2 linked regions of the Kluyveromyces lactis genome follow. The protein of the gene in region 1 interacts with the protein of each later gene in a biochemical or structural test. Links are inferred from orthologs where the notes say so. Each region holds a gene or a part of one and is shown on either strand. Other genes may lie near its edges.

What was found. The genes of interacting proteins can lie anywhere in the genome.
Region 2: the proteins of ARP2 (region 1) and AIM7 form a complex in vitro, tested with the Saccharomyces cerevisiae proteins (2 studies listed by BioGRID). The link is inferred for Kluyveromyces lactis from reciprocal best matches to the Saccharomyces cerevisiae genes ARP2 and AIM7.

What each region holds. Positions count from the first base shown.
Region 1 is NC_006039.1:351,272-355,321, forward strand, and holds ARP2 (actin-related protein 2), read right to left. Parts: upstream 1,677-4,050; coding exon 501-1,676; downstream 1-500. Other genes in the region: serine/threonine/tyrosine protein kinase MPS1, read left to right, coding at 1-297; MRX9 (Mrx9p), read right to left, coding at 2,114-3,244; APM4 (Apm4p), read right to left, coding at 3,618-4,050. UniProt on the Saccharomyces cerevisiae protein: Functions as ATP-binding component of the Arp2/3 complex which is involved in regulation of actin polymerization and together with an activating nucleation-promoting factor (NPF) mediates the formation of branched actin networks.
Region 2 is NC_006042.1:1,650,577-1,653,938, forward strand, and holds AIM7 (Aim7p), read right to left. Parts: upstream 1,015-3,362; coding exon 571-1,014; downstream 1-570. Other genes in the region: RPS13 (40S ribosomal protein uS15), read right to left, coding at 33-53; KLLA0_F18084g (uncharacterized protein), read right to left, coding at 1,455-3,362. UniProt on the Saccharomyces cerevisiae protein: May be involved in mitochondrial organization and biogenesis.

The DNA of each region.
Region 1 (4,050 bases):
ATGAATCCTGATGTTAAGATTCCTTATCCTGAAAAAGACTCTTTCGGTACAGTGATACCAAGAACTGTTATTGACACTATAAGATCATGTTTGGAAAGAAATCCCATATCTCGTGTTACAATTGACCAGCTATTAAGTGGTGCATTAATTAATCCTGTCACCGTAACAAAATTCTTCATACATGATTTGATAAAAAATGCAGTAAACTATGGTTGCGATCAAAAACATGTCAATAATGAGCGTGTGGAAGAATTATCTGAAGATGTTTGGAACAAACTAGCTGAATTTAAATTATAGATTAATCTATTGCACTGAGGGCAGTACTGGGATAAAGCACTTCTGACATGCCGTCTTTATGGCTTTTTTTCCTGCATTGAATAAAGAAGCAACATATGAATGCTGTGCTCCCATAAGAAGCCAGCAAATGAACCTATGGGTGCATTAATAAGTTTACCTACGTAATACAAATGTACTATTATATAAGAGTTTTAATCATTCATTTATCTTGGTCCAAACTTTGACATTGCAGCAGGACCTATTTCATGCCATTCTTGCTTCGATAACCACATGTGGTCTTTATCGGCCATAATGTTCGCTAAGACGGCACCACCAATGAACACCATATGCTTTCTTCTTGGTGGGTCCTCAATTCTGACCTTGAATTTATCCAAACGTGTGGGATCATTGCGTAGAACCCTTGTAAACCATAGTTGTTTTAGTTCTTTTTCCAACCTTGAAGGTAAACCTGGGTACATGGATGAACCACCAGACAAGACGATAGCTTTATAAAGTGATGTTCTGATATCCACATCTGCTGCTTGTATTGTGTTGAATAAAAGTTCACCCACACCTGGTTGTTCGACATCAACTAAACTTGGTTGGAATAAACACTCTGGTGCCTCGAATCTTTCCGGTCCAACCTTGATGACTCTCCCATCGGGTAATTCATAAGATTCCACTAGAGTAGTCGTCTCTCTTGCTAATTTTGTGTCCAAGTCTAGATCATAAGATACATAACAAAGCTTTTCTTTAATTTGACGAACAGTTTCGAAATCGGCAGTTCTGTTGAATGCATAACCGCGGCGAGACAAAAGGTCAATTAAGTGTCTGGTTACATCTCTCCCAGCAACGTCTAACCTTCTTGTCAAATGATTCAAAACAACGGATTCATAAACAGGAACAATGTGAGTAACACCATCACCGGAATCAACAACGACACCCGACGACAAACCTTGAGCATATAGAGCTAGAACGGCTTGAATTGCAACGTATGTGCCACCAAAATCATACTTCTCGAACATAACTTCACACATTTGTTCTCTGTTTTTAATGGGGTTCATTGGTGGTTCGGTAAGTAGTACCTTACCGCCGGATGTAGTTGGCAATTTCATCTGCTCAAAGAAAGCATAATCCCATAGTAATTCCATATCTGCCCAGTTTCTGATGATACCATTTTCCATTGGGTACGAAATCTGTAAATATGAACGAACTTCACTTGCTTCATCACCAATCATGATATCTTTCAATGGGGTAGAAGCATGACCTCTTTCTTCAGCTCTAAGAATCGGTCTACCTACGATGGATGGGAAGGTGTAATCTGGGAAGTTCTCACCAGCACGGCCAATTTTCACGAAACCAGTACCCTGATCAAGAACAATTGGAGTATGTGGGTCCATTTTCGCTTTATTAATGGGTTGAAGATGCTCACAAATGTCCGTTTGATTTAATTACCCCAGTTCCACTATTAAATCTGATGAAATAAACCTTTATTTCCTCTCTTTCTTTAAGAACATCTCCTATTTCCCAATGTTGTTGATGTCGTTTTTCACGTAAATCATGTGATCATGTTTGTCCATATAGAATTTATCCAGGAGGTATAAAGCTATTGGCACGTCACAAGATAGCCGCTAAATCGTTGGATTTACATGTAAAGCATGTTTTCATATGGTTCAAATGAATCTTATAGTTTGCTTGGATATGTGTTATATGATCTTTTTTATTTCATTGATGAATATGTATAAATTGTGACGGTTTGTGTCAACTTAAATAGATTTTGTGAAGTGATGATTCTTAATAATGTCATGTCAGTACCTAGGTGAGGGCGTTAGTTCTTTTAATCACTTTCGTACGTGTATTCTTTACTGCCGTCCTTTTTTCGTTTTACACTATATTGTGCATTTGCTCCAGTTTCTCCGACGTCTGTAATGAAGCAACATTTCGAAAATGGGCTGAGAGCACGTACATAGATGACCATCGGGGATAACTTAGAATCATCAATGTAGTCACCAGTGAACATCAACAATTCGTCCCCTGGGTTTGCCTTTGTAACGATGTAAACCAATGCAACTGGTTTACGGACTCCCTCAGAACCCATGTTCAATAGCATAAATGAAAAAGCTTGGATGTTTTCGTTATTTCTGACGCTGGAAACAAAAGAGTACGAGTTTGTTACTAACTCCATGTGTCCTGGAACATAAGCTGTATCACTTCCTAAAACTATGGATTTGATGTTGTGTTCGTTTTTATAGAAACTCTCATCTAATCTCGATTTCACAAAGGAAAGAAATCTGTCTGCGTTGGGAAATTCTCCCGATTGAAACTTATCTGTAAATGCTTGAGAGAGCTTGAAGGGGAATCCGCTGAAGTCCTTTAGCTGGGTAAATGACTTGAATTTTGGGACCATTTGCTTCATTATCAATTCTCTCCTTGTGGTGGATGAAAGCTTCATCTTAGTTTGATTGAAAGCATGATCCAAAAGCTGCATAAGTTTCCTGGTTCTAAAAGCTTTGAATTGATACCACCCTATTCCAAATATCACCATCGGGAAAAGCAAAGCAAGTAAGAAAGGCAAAACAAATACTATCATTGTTATGAATCCAGCGAACAGTAACGTGGAAAGAATAAAGGAAAAAGGGCTGATTGAAAAGATAAATCTGGGATTGTTAAAGGGACTTTTTCTGAAAGGATCCCGTCCACCAAGTACCATGTTTCTCGGCGTAGAATGGAAATTTCGAAGCGCCATCTTCACAGGAGAGACCAAAATATTCTGGTTATAATGTAAAAGATTCATCCGGGGATTCAAAGCTGCCAGGAGTGGGAACCGTGGCACCAAATTCACAAACTGACCCGTCTTGACACATCCATGACTAGCAGGACTGTATGCTTTTAACTTTGTCAAGGATTGAAATGGTCGCAGCCCAATCTGTGATTTAACGCACAATTGAAATCGATTTAGGGGAAGCATCTCACAGAAGAATATCACAATGTCTGATGTGCGGAATTGTATTTTCTCAGATTTATACCAATAAGCGATTACTTCTGGTAATGCAAAATGTCTTCATAGTCTTGAAATCTATGAAGCTTCTTAATTTACAAAGGAATTTTATAGGAATTTCAAAGGCCAAATTGTCTATATCATCGCAAACCCCATACTAAGATCGCAGGATGACTTATAATCTGCTTTCTGTTCCTTTAAACTTTTGGAATATTATTACTACATTGTTTAAATAGGAAAAACATGAATAATATATACATATCCGGGTAAACTTTTGTAAACCAATTCGTTGCACATTAATATGAAGACACCATTATAGGGACAAGTCATCCCACTCAGTGGACTAATATCTTATCTCGTATGCTCCTGAATGTGAGATATATTTAATCCATTTCACCGGTTGATAATTCAATTGTGGTTCTTGACATTTCAAGTGTCTCACCACAAGTCCGGAATTACTAAACATTACAATTTCGAAGCCCATTGATATTGGCGGTCTTGACCATCTTAACAAATCAGATAGATCGTGGGAAGTAGCAGGGATTGCCACCTTACCGCTCAGAGTATTTTCTGTAGATCCTTTGTATTTGTTGTATTTCCATACCATGCATTTTTCTCCGGCATCGTACTTACATTTTCCTCCAGAGACGTTAAAATCGCATTTAATCGTGGTTGGGGGCACAGGTATTTTAACTGTTACATCTTTGGCAGAGACATTGGATGGGAAAAGTGATCTTAACGTTACCTTGTAATTGAGTGTAGAGTTCTTCACGATT
Region 2 (3,362 bases), on another chromosome or scaffold:
TTCAATAAATGAAGTGTAGTTTATTAACGTACCTTAGAATGCATACGACCCATTTTGACTGATTTTCTTAACGGTGTTGATTGGTTGCTGTGATGTACCACTTGAAATGCAATAAATTAGATATAAACATTCAATTGAACAATTATAAAGTAAGATAACACTGATATCGTTATATTAAAGTTATGGAAGGTTTCAAACGTTCTCGAGATAGCTGTTCTGAAAAATACTCAAAATATTCTGCATACTTTATTGCCCTATTTGGAAATCATTATGATAAATTCTTTCCTTGCGAATATATTTATATTGATGGTGTACTGGTGTTATTTTGGCAGTCCTGGTTGAACTCTGTTCACGTGACTTATGTTTCTCCTCCATCAAGCTGCTACCTCAAGATCGATACAAACGATACGCCAATGAAAGGACAGGTGTCACAGTATTGTCAATGAACCCTTGGCTCATAAGGAGATTGAATATGGGTTGTGAAATACCGGAATTATATGGCATACATCTTTAACTAATTGATGCTACCCAATTTGTAGCAACTTAAAGAAGGCATGCAAAAGTATGTTATTACTTAGCTTCGATCTCTTGTTTCAATTCTTCTATATCGTCTTCATCTTCTAGTCCGGATGACACCTCAATGTACTTATTAACTGCACATTCTGCTCTCACCATTTCCAAAGCACCTGCATATAGCATCTTCCATTCTTGTGATACCACAGTGGCTGGTTTCCAATACAGCAATACGAGCGGGGTCTTTTTCCTTCCATCTCTTGTGGTCATTGGATAGGATAGAAGCACAAATCTCGGCATATTATCAGGCAGTAGTTCAGCCAAATCTTCCAACCGGTTGAAATCTTCTAAATCTTCGTCATCATCGATTATGATCTCGTAAGATGGCTTTGGTTGAATCTTGATGGATTGGATCTGTATGTCATCCGACCTGGCAGTCGCTGTTCTGAATTTTTTGATTTGATTCTTAGTTTCATTACTAAAATGATATATAGTCGACATGTTCCGTTGAATCAATATTCACCTGGATCGGTTGGCTTGTTTGTTTTCCCCTGTATTCTTCAATTTCGAGAATACTTCAACGTTTGTAAAGGATGGGTTACGTTTCGCTTTCACCTGTTGCTGTTCATAATTCACAGATTGGCTTTTACTTCTTGTTATATTATCTATGGATTTTCATTTCCCTTTGATCTCAATGCAAAATATAAATCTGGAAAATAGTGCTGTGATTCAAAATAGAAATAAGATCAATAAAGGTAACGTTATCATTACTGCTGCCTGGCGACAGACTTTTTTATATTCTATACAAAGAAATTCGGTTGAACTCGTGACAGTATTTACAAGTTATGTGTGGTTCGGTTGATTTCAACTATTAATAGTATCGTTAAGTCGTAACATTTTACAACTAGCACACCCAAGGTTGATACCTAAAGAACAGGGTATTAGAAACCATCGAATAATGATGGGTCTTTGTCGTAAAGAGACAGTACGTTGAGTACCTCCTTTGCATTATAAGCAGTCATTGTCATAATCATTTTACTGTACGTTTTCAGGTTTGATGGAGGTGATAATTTTACATGGGCAGACCAGCTTGAGTTTTGCACAGTGTTGCTATGATACTGCTGGAGTTCCTCTTTAGAAGAGTTGAGGTAAGATGTAAGAGAAAGTTCTAGTTTACCCAGGTTGAATAATTCGATTAAATTCCTTGCCATTCCAACCGTTCTTGGTCGATAAATGTCTATGTCGGCACAATTCACAACATCTTTCAAGATGGAGAACAGTTTTAGAAGGATCTCTCTGACAAGTGCTGCTAGCTCTGGATCTCTACAATTCAGCTTGAAATACAGAAATCTTATTATTAGTCCAAATAATACAGCCAATGTTCTGTTAGTTACCAGACAAATAACGTGGGAAACGACGAACTTCGAAGGTGTTTTCATTAGCCTTAGACTTTGCAAACCCATTACAAAGGACTTGGCTATTTCCACTGCTGCAGTCAATGTGAAGAACAAATGACTCCAGAATAGTGGAGACTGTGTTCTCTCAAAGTGGAAGAACAATAGTGACTGGTTCGATAATTTTTTGACTTTGAAGAAATAGCCCCACTTGAATTTATTGAAGTCATTGAATATGGAGATATTTATTGGCACACCTGGTAGAATTTCAATTTCTTGTTCCTGCTCAATGGAGAATTCGTACGAAGGTTGTGTCAATTTAAACAAGTTGAGTCCATTATTCTCATTGATCTTGAACTGTATAAACTGTTCATCGTCCAATGTGCGCTCCATATTTCTGTTACTGATGATTAGCTTAAACAATTGATAACCTTTTTTCAAAATGTGCTTAATCTCTAAATTGTGTTTCCCTATATCATCTAAAGATATGATTTCTTCCAAAGTCTGTGAATCATCCAACAAATGGGCATCATCATAAAACACAGAATTGTCAAATTGATCATGCACTGCACCACATAAAAGCATATAGTGCAGGTTGTTCCAACAAACAAGCATCCACATGTTCGAATCTTCATCTCTGATTGCTACCCCCATATCATTGATCATCTTACAAAGTTCACCATCACTCCATCCGAAAACCGAATACATATCATCGTGATCTTCTAATAATAGCATCAACCTGAACAGGATAAGCGTTTGTACTTGAAGCTGTTCGTTATCCTTTAAGAAATGGATGCAATGCGATAAGCATTTAAGGTGTTGATCTTCGATCGGATATTGTAAACACCATTTAAAAGACGCATGATTAGGTTCGAACTTCGTAAAATACGAGAATAACGATAGGTAACCTAATCTTAGTGCCATCATTAAAGTTGTAAGGAACTTCAGACTAGTTTGTAAATCGTAATAGTATTGCCTTTGTTCGATAATCATCTGGTATAGTTGTTCAAACTCATTGACGTCTAAAATTGGATATGGGCCATGAACATTGGTATAGAAATGTGATAAGATGGTTCTCATCTTATCTTGTGGAGGCAAAAGGCTGAGCATATCATCGATGAGTTTAGTTGGGCTGTCAGATCTTTCATTTCTTATCTTATCTACGATTCCTTCAACCGATAACGGTTGCAAAGCATTGCTTGCCTCTAATATGCAACTGAACCAAAGTGACGAATTTGCTGGATCAAGTTTGATGAGTTTTGATCCAGTTAAGATTTGGGATACAAGGAAATAATGGTAGAAGGGATCTTTGATGACATAAGAATAAAACTCGTTGGTGGTTTCAAATCTAGCTCTAAGATCATATTCTGCAAAAGAGGTATGTACAAATTCTGGGTCATTTTCATGAACCTTATGAGTTTGTTCATATCGCAAGTTATCAGTGTTACCGTTTTC